Linked DNA regions of Coturnix japonica. The protein of the gene in region 1 purifies or fractionates together with the protein of each later gene. This does not show direct contact. Links are inferred from orthologs where the notes say so. Each region holds a gene or a part of one and is shown on either strand. Other genes may lie near its edges.

Region 1 (10,367 bases):
TATTTTATTCAAATGCACTAATAAAAACATCAAAAGGTATTGAAGTGTTTTAAAATGAAATTATTATATACTTTGTTCACAAGTGACACTATTTAATATAGCAGTTAATTAGTAGGAGACACGCTGTGACTTGAAAAATAAACTTCTATAGGAGGTTGAAAATACATTCTTTGATTAAATACATCTAAGAACATTAAAAAAAAAATCAAAATTATACCCATCACTGCCACTGAAAAGCCCTGCAGCAAGCTATTATTATGAATCATTAATACTTCTGATCAAAACCAGTCCCCTGTAGCTCGACTTTAAGGCTTTACTCAAAACAATTCTTCCATCAAGTGCAGCAACTGAGGGGCACTGAGTATTTTACACTCATTCCTTGGACAGCTACTACAGCTCTCCAAAACATCCTACACAGACTCTCAGACTGTAGCACTGCAGCAGCATTTTATTCTATTTCTTAGCAGAAAACCATGCTCAGAAGCTCTATGTAGAAGTCCACCACAGTACCAGTACTGGTGATTCAACCGAAAGGGCACAGGATACTGAAGCAGATGACTACAGTTATAAAGGTTTAAATAAAGAAACAGGAGGCAAAACATTTTTAATCAATATGATCCCAAAAACGCTGTCCCATTGAGACAGTGTAGTGTACAACTGGGAACTTCTCCCATGAGCTTTTGCCTCCAGAATACGAAAATCATACAACTGCATCCGCAACAACCAGCAACACAAGGTGTATGTTTGGTGGCCCTGCCAGGCAGGGGGGTTGGAACTACATGATCCTTGAGGTCCCTTCCAACCCGGGTCATTCTGTGATTCCGTGAACACAGGCAGTGAGAACTGCAAGACGTACCCTGCCATGGACTCAGTGAGTCCTCCTGTGTGTTACAGCTAAAAAACATCGCACAACTGAGCCGGAGAAACGGCAGTTGCCTGAATGAGCAAACTGTGGGTGAAAGGAAGTTACCCTGAGCCTAAAAATAGTTTATTGTCCTCCCACTCCCCTGAAAGTGCAAATGAAAGTGCTTGTTTTTCAGGAAGACGAACATGAAGGCACTGCCTCCATGCCATAAAACCTCATTGATGGACAGAAGTAGTAGCCAAGTACTGAATCTTAAAACAGACAAATGAAATAATACTTAGACTTTTTAAATTATATTAAATAAATAAGTTGCTTGTATACACGGATGTGTATTAAACACATTTGATACACACAAGCAATAAATCATGCACATGACTCCAGAGCTTTAGAAAATGTGTATCTAAAATATAAAGCTCCATATCATTATCTGTAATAAATGAAGGCAGCACTGCACTTCCAACTAGCATAGAAATAATCGTGTGGCTAAACCAGAAACTGCATTTGTTAAAAATACTTTAGGAGAAAGGAATATAAAGGAGGTACTCATTATAGAAACAGGAGGTTTCATTACAGACTCATCATAGAGATTCACCTGGACACAGAACACTTTAATATTATTAGAGAAATAAATAATACTGAGAAGCGCATTACAGAGACATGGCGTACAAACACAGACTGAAAACAATTGCTTCTGATGATGGTGAAGTCCAGACATTCCTGAAAATCATCATCAAGATTTTAGACTCAATCTGGTGAAGAGTACAAAAATATCTCCTACAGTCATTGCAAGTCGCTTCGGTTTTAAAGGCAATTAAAAAGTGGGAACAATCATTCCTTAACATTTCCACAAAGCAGAGTGAGAAATTCAGGAAGGAAGAGAACTGCTACTGAAGGTCTGGGCAAGGGAAACATGGGCTAAAGGAAAAATCTTCCGATCTAATTAAACCTAGGAACACATAAATAAAGACAGCTGAATGGAAACACAGATTATTAGAATATAAAGGCTAAGCCAACAGGATTTCTCACCAGCTGCACTTTCACTGATATACCGTCAGCGTACAAAGGTTTGTTTTGTTTTACTGAGACGTTGACTTGCAAGGCAACATTTCCACAGATACACATTTTCCGTGCATTTTCCACAGATACACATTGTGGACACAAGAGAAAACAGCCTGCAGAGAAACTTCCACAAAGCGGAATGTAATTGCCAAACAGATTTTAGAACAACCAGAAACGTTTAAGATCACTGGAAGAAACTGTCCTACGCTACAACCACCAGATGTTTACAACACTGAAGAGGACATTAAATACATAACCAAAAAACAACTGCCAAGAGCACAAGAAAAGGTGAAGAGTTTAACTGTGTATGACAGGAACTCCACATATCATAAGGCCGAAAGTAGGGATAAATCCTACTTCCTTTTGGAACTGTGGCCCCTTTCCCAAACCTTACAGGGAGTAGAGCCTGCTGTGTCTGAACTTATTTCAGTCAGAACAAGTGCAAAATTCTGTTCAGAAGCTCCAGGACTGATGTTTGATTCACCATTATGTGCAGAGCAGACCATGTGCCAACGTCTCTTTCAGACAATAAATGAGGATTTATTTCCGCTTATGGAAATGGAGCAAAATTTGATTTTGCAAGTCACAGCCATTATGATCCTCTATTCTTGTTTGTAAATTAGGATAAAGTATTAACTTTAGATATTTTATTAATAGTTAATTGATATTTGTAAAGCATTCCAAATTTCATAAAGGGAGACTGGTATAGAAACGATGAGCAGCCAACTCTCATGCAAATCAACAGAAAATAGAAGCTTTCCTCCTCTACAACTCAGACAGTAACTACCATTTTCCATATGGCCATTTCTTTAGACTTAAATATTTTTAATGCCTGATAAAGAGGATTTCTTTATCAAATCTATTTGAGAAGGAGGGTACACATCTTGCAGTTCTCACTTAACCAAAAGTCTTCTAGAGTTGGAAGGATCTCTGACTATTTAGGAAGTTCAGCACTGGGCCTACAGATAGGATTCATAAGAAAAGCCTATAATAAAATCACACCTATAGGGAAATAATATAATAATGATCAAAAGCAAACAGCAAGTGAAAGATTTTCCCTAACTGACTATGCAGCTCTCTTTTGTTGCCACTACAGCAATTCTTTAATGCCATGGAAACTATCTGATAAATGTATAAGAAGCTCAATAAATTTCATAATATTGAGGTAGCGAAGCAATTGGTATTGTTGACAGAGAACTTCTCTTCTGAGCGACTCTTTTAAGAGAGAAAAATTGCCTAAAATAAAAAATTATAGTTTGAGCTGAGGCCTGTTTGCAATAAAAATAAACCTGAAAGTCACTACACAGCATTAGAATACTGGAAAATGTGGGGGAATGACAGGAAACAAGAGGAGCCCCTTGAAATGATAAAAATGGGACCTATTGCTTTAATATTTAACAGTCTTTCTTTTGTACGGTTTGCTTTACCTTATTATGCATTTTTAATGAGGATTAGGAGGATGTGAAGAATATTGTGAATCACATGCTAGTTTTCTGCCCGATTCTGTTCAACATATATATGTATATATATGTGTGTGTGTATATATATGTTATATGTATGTATGTATATATGTATATATATGTAATCTATATGATCTTCGCAGTCACCTGCATGCATGTCTTCATGCTCTGGGCAGTCCCCTAACATGACAGATAATGCCAGAAACAGAAATGGACTCTCTGTTTTTAGAGCTAATAATGAAATTGGTCTGTTTGCATGTGCTCAGTATTACAATACAGGATTTATTTTTTCCTACCAGCGTTGTATCCCTACTGATCTTCCTCCAAAGACTTGTAAGTTAAGAGTATCTACTGAAAATGAAAGTAAAAGAAGCCTCGGTAAGTACCACCCCTTTCCAATGCACATACAATATACAATACAACCTTTTGACACAGAGACATGCTTTGAGGCATGCCACAGACTTGGTTAATAAACTCTGCATGGATGTGCCTAAGGCACAGAGGTGAATGTTGTCATCCCAAGATAAGGGCTCTTCACCAGGGCTGCCACAAACCAGCTACCTCAGGGACCTGCCAACCCTACCGATACCAAGAGCCTCCCTAAAAGTTAAGGCAAAATGGAAAGTTTTGTAACACAGGGCAGGACATACCAGAAAAGAACATGCAAGTACTAAAGTGCATGTGAGATTTAAACCTTTTTACAAGTACATATATTGAAAACGCAGGCCAACTGTACCATAGCTTCTCTTTGCAATTCTTGTACCATCCTGCTTGAAACAAAGGAGGACAGACTGCTTTTGAAACATGAGATTCAACATTAGTCACATTATTGAACAACTCCAAATTATCACAGAATCATAGAATGGCTTGGGTTGAAAAGGACCACAATGATCACACAGTTCCAACCCCCTGCTGTGTGCAGGGTCACCAACCAGCAGCCCAGGCTGCCCAGAGCCACATCCAGCCTGGCCTTGAATCCTGCAGGGATGGGGCATCCACAGCCTCCTTGGGCAACCTGTTCCAGTGTGTCACCACCCTCAGTATGAAAAACTTGCTCCTAATATCCAACCTAACCCTCCCATTTAGACAAAGCACAGTAAATAACAACAATTAAATTATCAGAAAATCAGACCGCAGAAGAACAGAGGACACAAAAGTCTTCACTGCATGAGGAGTGGTTTTTTTTGGCTTGGGGCATTGGAGAGTTTTAATTCAGCCCAATAGGGCCTCAGAAGGCTCCTGCATCTCATAAATACATTAAATGTTTGTTCACAAAGAGCTAAACAATACACACACATACGTTAATTAAAAATAAAGCACACAGTAACAACCTCATTCCCCTATAAGTAGCATAAGCTCCAATGAAAACTCCAGTTCCTCTCACTGCATTTCCTAAATGGCAAGTTATCATTCAGCCTTGTACATAACACTGAAACACATTCTGTCTCCTATTTCTGTTTCCTGAAACATTATTATCAAATAAACTACAGTCCCGACTTATCTGTTCTTGCAATACAGGCATGTATGTCCACAGAAAGGAACAGACTGCATTAAAACACTACCAAAACAAGCCATTTCGCTGTATGTGACTCTGCCCCTGGGGAAAGGAATGAGAGCAGATAAGATGTGACAGATGCGTAGTCACGTCACTTAATACACAACTGGAAGGTGCTCAAATCATTATGCTGACAGGCACACTACAAAAACTTGCAAAGAATGGACAAAGCATTTATCTAGTTTGCTGCATACTTTATTCTTGTAATGAAAGAAGGTGCTGAAGTCCACACAGCTGCTCCTCTGGGAGAAAATATAGGCTGCAACTATCAACATGAGATGTAGTTCGAGGGGAGCAGGAGAGGGGAGTGGAAGAGAAGAGCATGGCATGTGTGGTTTTGTCTGCAAAACTCTTCCATCACAAATATAAAATGTTTAAGGTCAAATTCAAGGTCTGTCCTCTAAAAATTTCCTGTCCTGAAATATTTTTAAACAGGTTTAATGAAACTTGAAACTTACCCAAAACAAGAAGTACACTTAGCAACTGGAGATCTCCAAACTGATCTCGTTATTCATATAATAAGAATAAAATAGGAAATCACGTGGTTACTGTATAAAGTAATAGGACTAGTTGCTTGTTGGAGGGTAAGTGAAAGCCTAAAAGTTTAAAGATTAGGACTTTCAGACAACTGCCCAGGAAAAGCATGAAAAATGCAGATGAAATATCACTTCTTTCAGGTTAAATAATCCTAATTGTTACAATCATCAAAGTAGATCAAGAATAATTCTAAATAGCAGCACAATTTTTAACTGTTGGTGTCCCTTCAGTAGCGATCAATACCGCTGCTGTTTCAGATGCATCATTAGGCCCAAATCCTGCAAAATGATCTGTACACAGCCCTGTGCCTACGGGAATCCGCATTAAGTCAAAGGGGGAAGACCAACTCGCAGGATCAGATTCTTAATTTGAAGCTGGACCACTGTAACTCATTATGACACTAATCATAAATATCTCAGCAACGCTCTCTGTGCCCCATCTGTTTTATCTTATTATAGCTTTATATCTCAATCCACAGGACTAGCTACAGCAGTCAAAATAAACACCTGTGTTTCTGCAAGACCACGTCCTCAGGCAAAGCCAACATTTTTCTTCTGTCTGTGCACACACCTACCATGTTCCCTGAACAGGACTATGCAATATAACCGAATCATTTAAACATTTATTCAAATACAAACCTAAGTGTTCTTTGGTAATGAAGCCACTTAAGCCAAAGGACAAACTCTATTTACCGAAATGTAACAAGTTGTATTTTTAAGGGAAATGATCTGCATCTCAAAAATGAACTGCAAAAATAGACAAATGGGATTTTAAATGACTTTAAAGGAGCATTTGCTTCTTCATCTTACTTTCACTAAACAACTAGAAAAGTTCATAGAAGAAAATTCACTACAAACCAGAACACCAAATCCACTGACACACACACTGAAAAATGGTGAGTAGTGGAAGCACTCCAGGCCCATCTTGCTCTTCCAGTCTCCTCTATGCTTCCAAATCAGCCCTTGCCAGCTTAATACAGCAGGGTTAGATGGTCCTTTGGACCTTTCTTTTGAGCAAGTACGTTTATTTGTACATACTCACATGCATTCCATAGAAAGAAGTCTCAACTATTTTAATGACAACTCCAGCAGAACAAATCCTACAATCCAAGTTTAATTTAATTTAAGAGATACATGTAAGCTGTGTGATTATTTTCTTTTTTCTTTTTGCAACTTGTCTGTTTTTTATGAAGAAGTGAGGTTACGAACCAAAGCAAAGTGCAATTACACATTCATTACATATTTCAGTACTGATTACCAGATTTATCAAACGAGTAGAGGAAGAGATCTGGGAAATCTACATGCCCACAAAGCAAAAATGAACAGGCCTAATATTAAACCTATTCATCTTTCTATTTTCCAGAATAATCAGCACAAATTGTGCTTAGCTCCATTCGTTGTAACAGAAAAGAAGAATGGCGATGAAAAAAACCCCCAAAACTCAGTAAGAACTCAGTGAAAGGAAACACTTCTAGAAGGTGATTCCTTCTGCCACACCAAACGTAATTCTGAGAGAAGCTGCTGGCCCCTGGATTTGTACTGAAATTCAGTGCCAAACAGGATTTAGAGCAAGCATTCGAGATATTAGAGAGATACTGTCAGCCTTTTAAGAGCTGTAAGCTGGATCATCATTTCCTTTCCCAAATTAGAAGTTAAATTTTCCCGCAGCAACTCAACTGGAGCAGGGATATGCAGGCTGTCCTCACAGTAATGTCTTGCCTAAGACCTGATCTTTCCTCTCGAGATGCTGCAATGCATGGCACCCTTCAATTCCAAAACCCCACAGAAGCCAGGGGCTGCGTGCAGGTTTCCCCATGCTCACAAGGCAGCTTGGCCTCACCATACCTACTGCTCAGTTCATGTATCTGCTGAGTATTCACAATCTAAAATCCTCACACACAGCCTGAGTGCCTTGAAAATTCAAGTCATCATATGGGTTAACATCAGCATTTAAAACTTCCAGAAGTATTGCAAACAATTACCACACCCTCATGTCACAGATAAAATATTCTGTAGAGCTCAAATACATACATTTCTGGCATGAAACATTCCTCATTACTGGCAAAATCTCCATGCAACCTCTGGCAACAGAACACTTTGAGTTTAGAAGTCAACCGGAGAGTAAAACTGTTTTGACTTACGGTATTTAGGTATTTTTAATTAAAAATCATTCCTGAGCTTACCTTTCAGCAGAGGCAGGGGAGTTAACTCGATAGGCTTGCCCTGAGACCTAAACTGGGAGGAGCTTTGTGACCTCTTCTGTCTGGCTTTTCTGACGGACTTCCGAGAAAATCCGTCTACTTTATCCACTGATGGAGGAGTTGTTGGTGCTGAGGACATATCCCTACTGAAGGAAAACAAGTGTTACAAATACATTCCAAAACTGGTGAAATGGGTAAAGATTAACTGATATTTTCCAACCCCCTTGATCTGTCTTCACTGTTCTCCTTCTGACAGCTCACCCAGATAGAGCATTCGGAGAGATAACCCACCAATACACATGCAGGTCTTATAGAATAAATAGTGCAATTTCTTCTCTCTCCCTTGTTTTATCTGCCCCACATTTACCAAAAACCCTACAACAGGAAAAATTCTGACCTAATGATGACACCATTATGTCAGCAGAACTTCATATACCTGTGGACTTGACTAAGGGCTGAAGCCTTGACTACGTGTTACATGAGAAAAGTAACTTGAACTCATGCTGGAAGGCATTATACAAGCTAAATGATGGGTACTCAAGAAGGCATGAACATCTTTTTCACTAGAGAGTCATCAAAGTGCATGGGACAGAAGAAAAAGATCAGTATATTTACCATACCTACATACAAGACCTAATAGCAATATTAAAAAGTACCACTAAAAGTACTGCCGTGCTTCACTATTTCACTAGAACTGATGAAATTTCACATACTGCTCCTTTACTCTCCATTTCAGACATTCTGTTTTTGTATGGAGTCTCTCAACACACAGTTATTCCATGTTCTGGTATTTTAGCAATAAGAGCAGGATGGCAGCCATAATAGTTCTAAGGGCACAAGCCAGACGAGGTTTGCAGAGAGGCAAAGAGCCAAACAAGGTTTCTGCAAGCCAAAGTTTGTTTGTTTCCCAACTCTATCAGCTGGTCTGAGAAATAAGCATTGCCTCTTCCTATAACACATGCCCTGGTAATGCTGCTGTAGCTAATTCCATACTATTGAAAAATATTAAAAGGAAGATTTAAAGAGTGGATTCCTGCAACCAGCTCTTGTATTTAGCAGCCTGTGTTGCCTGTTAAAAAGGCACATCACATCTTGGTGCAATACATGAGTAATACTTCAGGAAAACAAGACAGGAGGAATTTCGGCCTCCATATTTCAAGCAGCGCTGCATACAGTGAACTTCACCAGCATGCGCACCTCTATTATTCATGTCAGTAAGACCATTATTAGGCAGAGCACTCCGCCAGTTTCAATAGGGCCACACACTCGTGCAAAGTTAAGTATCGGCATAAGCACTTGCAGGATCAGGGTCTTAGAACATGTCCTTGGAAAGCATTACTCATCCTCAATGTCTGTTGACTTCAATTACCGAAGTGACTCGCCGGCTAAAAGAAGTTGATTCCCCACCATGGAGAACACTTTCAAGTGCTTATTTTATTAAAATATTTGGTTACTCATACGCTGCATAAATTATTGAAGCCATTGAAAGAGACATTATTTAGATCTGCCTTTTACAAGAGGAGCTTTAGAAAGTACAATTTAAGGCAACTGTAAACAAGTGCAGGAAGAAAAGAACCGTTCAATGCGAAATTATATATATATATGCTCACTAAACCTCTCAGAAATGGAAGTACAAACCCCACAGCTTCTCCAAGGCGGCATGTGCAGCACCAGATGCTGAGCTGTGCAGCTGGCATTACCGTCAGAAGAAAGCATTACACCATCTCTTCTATTTTTCCTGAGGTCCCCTCCACCACCAGCTTATACTTCCTAAATATAAGACGCTGTCGGCAACGTGATACAATCCCTTTACACCGGGTTTATTTGCTATCCAGGGGGAAAGAAATGCCCCCATCAGTGGAGCATCCAGGCCCCAGCTGAGATTAATACATAAAAAAGTCTGAAAAACTGAAATAGAACGGCCTGCGCTCCAGCACCCGCTTCTAAGGTTCCAAAGCTCCGCCAAAAATATATATAAGCGCAAAGTTACCTGTTACATAAACCCAAATTAGGGGAAATAGCAGCAGAAATACACAGCTAAAAGCCGGATCCGTTGGCCTTGTTTCATCTCATCCAAAAAAGATTCCTCTGCCCGTCACGTGTGCGGCTGAAGTGTAACCATCTCTGCACTCTCCCTCAAGATGAAATCACCAAAATAATAACAACGCTAATAACAACGGGCAGCCAGCACAGCGGATGGCCCAGCTGCAGGATCTCACCGGCACCTCTCCTCCAGCTGTAAATTTAGTAACATTTTCCCCTCACCTGCGTTATAAATTATTAAAGCCTCGTTCTAATTCCACAAGGCTGCATCCAGCCTGACAACCCCGTGGTAAACACCGATCCCTATTTATTTTTATTTTTTTTTTTTTCATCCTTTCGAATGAGCCTGAACGCGCTGTAAGGGCGAAACACACGATTCCAACCGGGTGGGGGGGAGGAAAATAAATAATAATAATAATAATAATAATAATAATAATAATAATAATAGATTATTGGGTGTAGGAAAGCTGAGGAGCTTAAAAGCTGTTTCTCCCAATGAAGGGTCGTATTCTCGCAGAATGGAGCACAGGGAGGAAGGCGAAGCCACGCACCCCACATTGAGGGGGGGGTGGGGAGGGCGGCGAGGCGGGGGGACGTGAAAATAGCGACGGAGCGAACCGGGAGGGCCCTGGGCCGCCACGCCGCCAT
Region 2 (10,797 bases), on another chromosome or scaffold:
GTCAGAATCCACTAAGGAGTTCAATGTGAATGCGTATGCAGGAATAAAATTAAAACTCAAAGGTCTCAATTAACATTGAATTATTTACTATTCTACAGCAAGTAAAAACAGAATTTCCATCCAACATAAAAGCACTAACAACAGCACCATACTCTCCCATGACTGAAACAGAGAGCATCCTATCTGCTCTGCTCTGGTGAGCAGCACCTGTACCAGCAGCGCTAAGGTCAGTCACTGCAGGCCTTGCTGGAGGTTTGGAATGAGGTGAAGGAACAGCTCAATCACAGCACAGCTCCTGGCAATACGTGTCACAATGCACTCACTGCTTATTTATGGCCCTTAGTTTTCTCAGGCTTGGGCAAATAGAACTAACAAATGAACTCAGAAGTTGTATTTAAACTCCAAGTGTACAAAATAGCGGCCTCTATCTCAATGACTGTGTATGCAAACCACAGACACCTAACCCAAAAAGCTTAACACAAACCAGCTTAATATTTCACAACACACAGCTAAGTACCTTTCTTTGCCACTCTACAGCAGAGCAACATCTGCTGCCTCACTCTTTTAGCAACTTCTATTTGATTTGAAGAATAAGTGAATAAACAAGACACTGGCCAACCAAGACAGCAATCCTAACGCCAGCACTGCATGCAAGATTGAATGAGACAATCACTTTATTTCTCCTGTGAATTCTAGAAGGTCTGTAAAAATGAGTGCAGGCAGTAAACTTCTGCCAAGTAATTCTCTATTCCTTTGTAATGCAAAACAATGATGGACACTTTCTACAGTCTTGATATTCCCCTCAAATTCAATTTGCAAAAAACATTAGCAGCCTTAGATATTGAATAGTAACTGAAAAGGATGCTGGTTCCCTGGGAGAGGGATTCAGGAGAAGAGGAAGTGCTATTTTAATAACAGCAGTGGACCAGAGAGAAAATGAGGACAGGAAGGGGCATCCCCCAAAGAATTCTGTCATCATCATTTCACAATATTCAAGGTATCTTTGTGCCTTAAACTTGGAATTTTAAACACTCTAGGAAAAAAAAAAAAACCTTCAGGAATGTACAAGAAGTCAAATAAATCAGGAAGACCAGATGGGTTCCTCTCTATATTGGAGATCCCAGTAGAAGAGTAACAGTAATAATGCACGAAGCTGACCACTTACAGAGACAATCTTCAACCCTATCCATAGGAGCAAGCTGAATTCATTTTGTACCACTCCAGCAATTAGAAAAAGAAGTAGGTTGAAGCCGTTCCTTTACTAGTGTGTCTGAGAAATGAAGCTAATCTGGCTGGTGGTAAATTCAAAAATTGTTCAAACTTTTTGTTCAAATAACCCCATCCCCAGCTGGGCACAGTGCTGTTAATGCAGTGTGCTATCAGCTGGAAGGCTGGGCAGGAACATGTGTCAAACCAAAGAGATGTACTTCAAAACCAGTGAGCAAGGACTCAACACCTGCACTGGAAGGTATTTCCTATATACCCTGCAGAAATATCCGAGAGTTGCTCAACTGATGACTTGAGCTCTGCTATTTGTTCTTTAGCCAGGGATAAACTACCTGCTTTTTCCACCTTAACGTATTGCCTAAAGAAAGAAGTCTACAGTAACAACTGTGTTATTGAATGCTGGTGTAGTGTTTAAGGGGCCCTAAGTGCAAAGGAAAATGTTATCACTGCTCCTTCCATGCTCTCAGCAGAGCCATGCACAAGGCCTCTGTAACTCATGCCAAAGCCAGACAGGTGAGGTTATTATGCTGTTAGTCATCAGGGTTGCCTTAAACTGAGCACAGCCCGGGAGCAACCACAGAGCAGCACTGTCATCAGATCTTGGGAGGCAGCAGCTTTACCAGAGGTAGATTTGGAAAAGGGACATCAATCTACAGCCTTGTCTGTGTCGTTATCCTTACACTGTACAACCTCAAGTACAAACTTGCTCTGACTTACAAACGCTCACTTCTGTTATTTTAAGCTATGCCCAAAATGACACCGCTGGGATATCTTTCACTCCATCTGATTACAACGAATGCGGTGAGTAAAAACTAATTAAAAGGAAGGAGTACTAACACCAGCACGACTGATTTCACAGAATACTGAAGAGAAAGCTGCTGGTGCTACAAGAAGCAATGTGCATCAGTCAGATTTCTCACACATCACCAAAGCACTGTAATCAGAACTAGGTGACAAGGCTAGCAAGGCTGACACTTCCAATGTGTTCTGTGCAAGGGAACGCTTTCCATTTTATATTAATGCTATCGTAAGAACACGGGGAGTTTCTTTCTTTGTGAAAGCATTCCTCAATAACCTAAAGCAGTTATTAAAATGTCACAAAAACCTTCTCACCTGTAATGCTCCAGAGATTGAAGCATCAACAGCTACACTAGAGGCAGTAACAAAGGAGTCCCCAGTCTTCTGTCCTCCCATAGGCCATAGAAACAAGTGAAGAGGGCCCTCCTGCCACCAGCAGTTTCTTTTCTACTGACTCCATAAGCCAATGTGGCAGCAAACAGGACATGAAACACTGTGCATTCCACACTTGTTCTTCTGTCAGAAGCGCAGGGACAGGCAGCATGTCCTGAACAAAGCCAGTACCAAGGAGACAAAGGAACAGTGCCTCTGAACAAGTGTGGCAGAGATGTCAGGGCAGTAACAGCTTGAAACAGAGCGTGCTTCACAAAACTTGTTCCTCTTGTACTACATGAGAAGTGAACTTTGACCACAGGTTTTTCTTTTGACCCAAAAGCGAGCTGTATCAGTAACACACTGCCCTCCTACAAGCACGGTGCTTAGAGAAAGCTGAAGGAGTTCAAACAGTCCGTACAGCTGTAGCAAGTACACGTTTGGCTTGTTCTCATTGGCAATTAGTCCCAGAAAATCTGAGACCTGGTGTTAAAGGTGGCAGGTAACAGGAGGAAAAAAGCCACCACTGACAAGCAACATACCAGAAATCAGCAGGGCCCAGGAACACTTATATTAGGGAAGTTAGCAATGGTGACAGACAAAATAGCAAGTGAGCTCACAAACTTTGTTACCGATCAAAAGCTACAGAGACAAGGTGTCAATCGAGGCTTCTGGAAAAGGGTTTAGTGATACAAGAACTTCATTCAGTTAAGGCATTTCTAGATGGCAGCACCATCCATGCAGTCAGCAGTAAAACCTCAGGAAACTGGGTGCTGTGTTCAAACCCACTCGGCCCAGCTCTTCCCAGTAAGACATTCCCAGACATCTCCACACAGAGGGAGATACAATCTGTAATAACCAATGGGGATTGCATCCACCAGCTCTGCTCATCCCTGTGTTCCATTCCGGATCGCCAGCCCACCTTTCCTGAGCTGCACATCACAACAGCCCCATCGAGACCATTTCCCACAAAGGATGGGAAAGAACAGCAGCCTTGTTCTAAGTGGGCAGTGGAAAATAACCTCACCTGGCCATAAAGGACTTCCTTTCTCCTGTACACAGACAGCAGACAGCGAACAGTTCAGCCTCAGCAGGACAAATGTGGCCAATATTATAAATGCCATATACTTGAGTAAGGCACATATTTATAACAACTCTTCAAAGCTAACAGTTAAGAAATACTTAAAGCACATAAAACCTGTCACTGGTGTAGCAAAATTAATAGAAAATATTCACATTAAATTCTTCTAATTGTCACTCAGACTTTTTTCAGGTCTGTGAAAGTCGCTATTATTTGTGGCTACAAATTATTCCTGGCTCTAGAAGACATTTCTACCAGGTACCATCACCAAGGTAATAAGGCACAACACAGGATGCACTGAGAGTAACTGCGATGCATGAATGGCCACACTGAGTTACTGTGCTGCACTGCACTGTGTCTGCAAATAGCTGTTGTGTTCTTCTGCTATCAATACTGAAACACAACAGAGCCCTCAGGCTTCGTCTTACTAGACACACACGAAGCCTCAGAAGATCCAGAAATACCAGTCAGAAGATCACCTAATAAACAGCATGTTATGGGGAAAAGCCTTCACAAGAGGGATTACTTTTTTCTATCGTAGCTACAGCTCAGAGCAGTGAGGAATGACAGCTTCTGTCAGATAGGGTCTGCACCCATCATTTGAAACAGTGACTATGTTTGACACCACCCTTAACATCTAAGCTCTCTATGGAAAATCATAACCTTTGGGTGTGATTGCAGACAATAATCAAAACACGAATCATAATTCAGTACTGCAGAGAGCTGGTGCTGGAAGCCTGGGAACAGGATAAATGAGGAACCTCTGCAGACAGGCACAGAATTCAACTAATGCCCTGCTTTGGGAACACAGCAACCCATGGGGGGGACAGGACAATGGAAAGCTTGACACAGCATCTCACCTACCACTAACAGGGGCTGGTAAATCCACCAGTAGTTATCACCCTTAATACAAACAGCCTGGATGTACCTCACAAAGTGTTGACCTCAACCGAGTAATAGAGAGGGAGCTTTATCTCAAGCACAGTGTCATGCTGCCCAAAGACATTCCACCTTTGGTCTGGAGCTGGCTCCAACTTGTGGCAAACCATCCCTGCTGCTCAGTGGTATTCTCACATCAGCCTCTCTCCTGTCCTTGCAGCCTTTCATCTCAATGCAGCAGTCGAACAGGCAGCTTTCTGTAACCTAATTCAACTCCTTCATCCAAACAATTCCTGCAGCTCATCACCTATCATTCCTCCAGCCTCTCCAACAGAGTCTGCTGCTCCTACAGAGCCCACCTGCCTCGTGATTCCTTGCCTTGAACCTATCAGAATCGTTTCAGGTTAGAACAGCTTTTTCTTTCCTAGTGTCATGAATCTATTCTGGTGATGAACATTACACGCTCAGCCAGAAATAGACTAATTCAATTCTTCATTAGGAAAAAATGAAGACACCTCCATCCTCGCACAGATTATGAACAGGACTATGGTGCCTTTTGTGCGGTTTCTATTGGCATGTCTACTGCTCACCTATCCACAGCATCCACTAAATGCAAAGAATTTCATTTATTCCTCGGGTTTTTACAGATTGCCATACAACCACATTAGAAATACCCAGCCAGGATTCAGCCCTTCCATCAGCACATCAGTGATGGCAAATGGGACACGAGGAAAAAGTCAGAGTGCTGGCACTAAAGACACACAAGGGAAACAATCCCTAACCTGCTACTTGCTTGGAACACCACGTTAAACACACAAACTATATCTAACGGCTTTGATTTTGAGTTGCTGGAATATGAGGCGACTGAAATGTGGGACACAACAAGAACCTGTATGGCCAAAAGCACTGCAAGTTAATTCTAAGTCCACATACAACCCTCTGGAAACAATCTGCTTCTAAACCAACACGCTGTACTATTTGAAGGCATGGTGCCAACCTTAAAATACCCCTGTTTCCTCCTGTGATAGGCACGCAGCCTTCTTTAGGACCGAGGGCATCAATAACCTCCATACGCATTGATTTCTAGATCCCTCCCCCAAAAAAGGCAATTCCTTCAATCTAAAGGTGCACACAAATAAAACCTCCAGTAATTGAAGGGAAAATAATGGCTCATGATGGCTGAGGATTTAATTCCGCTCAGAAACAGACTGTAACCGGACAATACAACCGGGTACCACTGCAGCTATTATTCCTTTAATTCCTAGAGCACAGTTGCCGATGTGAAGCCGCTCCTACACTACACACACAGCACATCATTGTGCTGCGCGGATCCCCATCAGTCACCGTAGCAATAAACAGCGACACGAGCTTTATGTCACTAAGCGCCATTTTATTCTGGAAAAAAAAAAAACAAAAAACAAACCCGACTCCCCAGGTCGATCTAAAATTCCGCTTCAATTAGAAATAACCGCGATCCTATATTTGTATGGTAAATGAATAACTGAATAATCCGCCGTGCTCACAGCAGCTCGGAGCCCCGCACCGCGCCCTACGCTCCCTGCCCTACACGGCCTCCCCGTGTCACCGCACAGCACCGCACGGATGGCGGAGCGGCAGGGCCGGGCCCGGCGGCGGCTCTCGTGCTCTGTGGCGGCGGCTCCCGGCAGCGGCGCCATTTTAGGAGGCGATGAAAAGGCGGGAGGCGGGGCCAGGCCGCGGCAATGCCCGCCGAGGGGCCGCGGCTCATCCAGCGCCGGGCAGAGCGAGCAGCGCCCAGCGGAGCCCAACAGAGCGACCCACCGAGCCGATGTGTGGAGCCGACCCACTGCCCGGCACCGCTCCGATCCGTCCTGCTCACAGCCCCGTGTGCCCAACCCCGGAGGTGCCGCCCCGCCCCGTGCCGCCGCTCCGCTCCCCACGCCGCGCCTCACCTTCTCGCACAGGCTCTTCACCTGCCCCTCGGACAGCTGCTTGCACTCGTTGAGCTGCTCCACCCACTGGTCCAGCTCCTTGGTGAACACCTTCTCCTCCATCCCGCACGCAGCCGCTCGCTCGCCCCCTCCTCCTCCGCCTCCTCCTCCCCCTCACCACCAGCTGCCGCCGCTCCCCCCAAAGGCCCCAACGACGCGATCCCGGTGGTCGCGGCTCAGCAGCGGGTCGTGGAGCTGCGGGCGGAGCGGCGCCCAACGCACGGCAGCGAACAGAGCGCTCCGACCCTCGCTCTGCCCGTGTAATGGCCGCCGCTGCTGACGTCACGGCCCCACTACACTGCGGGGAGGGGACGGCGCCGCCATGGGAGGGGACGGCGCGTGCGCAGTAGGCTGGACGGACCGCGCATGCGCGACATGGGCGGGACCTGCCCGACCGGAGAGACGGAGCTCTATGCTGCGCATGCGCGGCGCATGCTGGCTGGGGGGAGCGGGGCTTGCGCGCTGTGAGGGGCTTCGTGCGCATGCGCGGGAGGAGCTGCGGGTCATGAGCTTTTCCCGCCCGTGCAGGGCGCGGCTGTGGGCGGGTCTGAGGGAGAGCGGTGGGGAAATAGGGGGTAGCGCTGTACAGTGTGTGGGGTACGGCTTCATGGGTGTGTGGGGGAGCGGGGTGTGACACTGAGGGCGCAGTGCTGAAGGACGCTACTTTGCAACGCTGGAGGCCTTGGGTTCGAATCCCCCTGTGGCGCAAGTGGTAGCAGTGCCGCTCTGCAGCACAGAGGCTCCAATCCCGGGGTTGGACTCGGTGATCTCTAAGGTCCCTGCCAACCCGCACCGCACTGTGACACTGTGACGCTGTGCGGTGTGTGTAACGTGTATTGCAGTGGTCTTCATCCTAAATGACGGGGCTGCCGGTGTGGCATTTCCTTACAGTAACTTATCAAGCGTGTGAAATATCAGTTAAAAGAACAACAAAATCAATAAAGTGGGTCAGAATTTGGCCCAATGTGCCCTTTTGGAATTAGCCACTTACCAAAGGCTTCCTGCTTAATAGGAGTCACTTGTCTCCAGCCGGGTTTGCCTTGCAGTGAGTGGAAAGGGTTAAATTCTTTGCTTGCTATTGAGGCAAAGAAACAAAATAGTGAGCAAAGGGGAAGGAATGTTTGCTGTAACCAGTCGGTCTCGGTTCCTCCATGTCATGCTCTCTCTATAAGATGTGCATTTTTTTGGCATGCCTTTCTTCAGGGGCTCTATTTTGCATCCTCAGATGCCTCTGGTTTTGTATTTTAAAGCTGTAAAAGGAGAGGTGTTATCTGTTGAAAAATGGCAAGAATCTGCTCTGTGGCACTGCTTCATTGCCTCCCAAATAATCCTGAACAAGCAACTGGAAAGAACATAAGGCAATAATCCTCTCTTATTTAACTAGCCAAGTTAAAGACCGTATTTAGCTTTTGTTTTCATAGAGATAGAGGAATTCCTGGTGAAACTCAGGTTCTGAATTCTTTCTGATTTTTTCTTTTTTAAATTTCTTAAATTAAAGCTTCAGTAGCAGGAAAATCTTAACTTGCTTATGAAACTGCAACCAAAGTCCTGTGACGTATTATCTGATATGTGCAGAGAAAACACGTGTAATGTGCACTAGGCAGTGCTCCATGCGGATTGCAATAGTGATTGCTGCTGTCTTTAAAGCAATTGTGGTGGCTCCCAAACCTGCCATAGGTTAATGGGAGCCTGGTGTTAGGGTTACTCTGCTATGGAAAGGTTCCTTGTTTGAAAAGGCAGTCATAGCTCTTAGCTATCAACTCAGCATCATGAGGTAGGGGATTCATCGTTCCTTGCTCGCAGTTGAAGCTGTGCCGTTGACTAGAAGAGAACTGAGGACTTGGCACAGCAGTATTTTGGATCCAGTTATTCAGGTGCTCACATAGAAGGGAGACAATTGGAGTTCCATCTAAAACAACCTGCTCTATTCTTTATCCCTGTGTTGTCTCAGCCCATAAACTGCGTTCGGATCAGATGTCAGATCTCTTCCTCCTTCTTGAGAGTCATAATCAATATCTCAGTGAATTGTGGTTGCTTCTCTCCCAGATAGTTATCAGAACCTTCAAAGGAGAGGGAAATAATGAAAGAATACCTGCCACATTGCATCAGCTGGGGGTTTGGCAGTCCCTCAGGTACATGGCAAGGTAGGAACAATACTTAGTATTGACTATTTGTGCCAGGCTGCTGTGTGTGTATGTGTGTGGTTTGTAGCTAAGGAGATGTCCTGGGTGTGGGTGCTGTGATGAGTCAAGGGTTGTCCGTGCTGCCATGTGCAGTCCTGGCTCTTGAGTCACTGCCGAGCGTCTCATGTTGATGGCATTTCTTAGGAAGGGTTACTGCCAAAGCTGTGCTCACACACATCACATGGATGGAGTGTTCAGCTGGTTCTGTTTTCCTTACAAAACCATCTACAGTAGTGCAGACTAGTACGAATCTCCAATCCATTCACATGCATGTTAGCAATTGCAACTGTTTTGTCACTTACTGCAGTAACACCAGCGTTTCCTTCACAGTATAAGACATCAGTGTTTAAACTATGCAGGTTTATATTGCGAGGCATCATACAACAAAGTGAACACAGTTTTGATTGGCCATTACAGTCTACATGCACTCTATGTGAATATTTTACTAGATCCGAGTTATCTGCCAGTGCGTATCTGAAGAGTCTGTTGCTATGGTGTTCAGTGCTAAGTGCAGAGCTGGAATACTATGCTGTGTTATCTAAAGGTGCTATCTCAGAATTATAATCCAGGGTTAACTTCTTGGGTTAATGTGTGAGTTAATATTAATGTGGGTTTTTTGTCAGCAATGAGTGCAGAAGTTGATGTTTCACTGTAGATGTCATCTGCCTCTGGGGGCAAATGGGCTTTCCTGATCAAATTAGGCCAAAAATACATGTTTTGTGTTGAGACATCAGCCTCTTCCTGCAACAAAATACAGTGTGTTCTTTGTCTCATTGGTCCCCTTCGGTTAGATAAGCTTTGTGATTCTTAGCAGAATGATTGCAAAAGATGGGAGCTAGACAGAAAGCTATTTGTGTCGGATATTTGGTACGTCAGCATGAGCAAATGGAACTTCTTTCTGTTTGACTCACTCCAGAGTCCACGCAGTATGTCAGCGATTTTATCATGCACTGATTCCACCCGTAAATGGCTTCTGTGAAGCGCAATGATCAATAAATACAGATACTTCATAGTCAAATGACCCAGGGAAAAGTTGTTCTGAAAACACTGCACATCACTGTAAGGTGTTAAAATCTTTAGGGCACTTTGCAGGTGCTGCCATGCCAGGACAGACCTTTAGCTATTGTTGCCAGACAGACAAAGACATGATTTCAGCCCCACTGAGGGGCTAGTAGTTAACATGACAGAAGCATTTAGAGTCAAGTTCAGTGGAGACTTGGGGGCATGCTTAAATTCCTTCCTTTTAAACCAATACTGTAAACATCCATGAAGTGCTCTGCTAAGTTTCTGCCATAGGACTCGAGGCTTTCTGGTGCTCCTGTCATGCTCAGATCAGCACAACTCACATCACAAGGGTTTTGTTTGGGAAAGCTTTCCTTTTCTTGAGCCTTTTGATTCAATAAACTATGTTTAATCACTCAGAAACACAATGCATAATTAATACATGCAATCAGTTGTCATGGAGATGTAAATCAAGGTTTTTATTGTCTTATCTTTGCTTCTTGTGCCGGGATACCATGGAGTAACCACTATCTCTGCCTTCTAAATGATTTGCTTTGGGAATCCAAAAAATGCAGGACTTGTAAGAGGTGCTTGTGTTGTTTTTTTTTCCCAAGTTGCAACATCATGGCAGAGGATTGCTCCGCTTGTTTCTGTGAGATCTCTCACACAATGTGACAACTGAATTACGGCTAAAGCCTCTGCAGGATGTGTTTAGTCTCCTCATGTTAGTACACAGACTCAAGGGAAAATGTGGAAACTAATCCAAAAGAAGGCAGCTGGCTTACATGGCTCAGGAACCTTCGGGTTGATTATGAGGACTGGGTGTTTTAGTTAGTTTTGTTGTTTGTTTGTTTTTTTAATGAGGCTACAATTCTATTCAATGCCCATAAATCCAGAGAACTGAGTTCCCTACCTGCAGATCTAAGAATGTTAAACTTGGACTCTCTGACATATTTTACCTGTGCCTGACTGTGCCCTTGTGAAGTGCTGTGATAATGGGGAAGAAGCACACAGTGCAGCTCAGCCAACAGAAAGGACTCTTACCTTTATCCTGTGATGCTTTTTCTTGTCCTGGATTTCCAGTTACACTTAAGACAGGCAACACCTACCCAGTGTAGTCATTCTGTAGCCTATTTATTTGAGTGAATGAGGGAGATTCTCTGCATTATAGCCAATGCTTTTTCTCTTTCTTTCTTCTCTCAGGTTATTTCTCTCTAGTTAGTGCTACATTACAGTGATTGTCCTATTGACCTTCATCTGGCTCAAGCAACTGGAGAATTCAGCT

The links.
Region 2: the proteins of PPP2R5E (region 1) and PPP2CA purify together in Homo sapiens (affinity purification with mass spectrometry; 8 studies listed by BioGRID and IntAct, with this or other methods). This does not show direct contact. The link is inferred for Coturnix japonica from reciprocal best matches to the Homo sapiens genes PPP2R5E and PPP2CA.

The regions. Positions count from the first base shown.
Region 1 is NC_029520.1:48,477,559-48,487,925, reverse strand, and holds part of PPP2R5E (serine/threonine-protein phosphatase 2A 56 kDa regulatory subunit epsilon isoform), read right to left. Parts: intron 7,823-10,367; exon of another isoform or gene 7,820-7,822; 5' UTR 7,816-7,819; coding exon 7,659-7,815; intron 1-7,658. UniProt on the Homo sapiens protein: The B regulatory subunit might modulate substrate selectivity and catalytic activity, and might also direct the localization of the catalytic enzyme to a particular subcellular compartment.
Region 2 is NC_029528.1:2,277,430-2,288,226, forward strand, and holds the start of PPP2CA (serine/threonine-protein phosphatase 2A catalytic subunit alpha isoform), read right to left. Parts: upstream 6,609-10,797; 5' UTR 6,391-6,608; coding exon 6,289-6,390; intron 1-6,288. UniProt on the Homo sapiens protein: Catalytic subunit of protein phosphatase 2A (PP2A), a serine/threonine phosphatase involved in the regulation of a wide variety of enzymes, signal transduction pathways, and cellular events.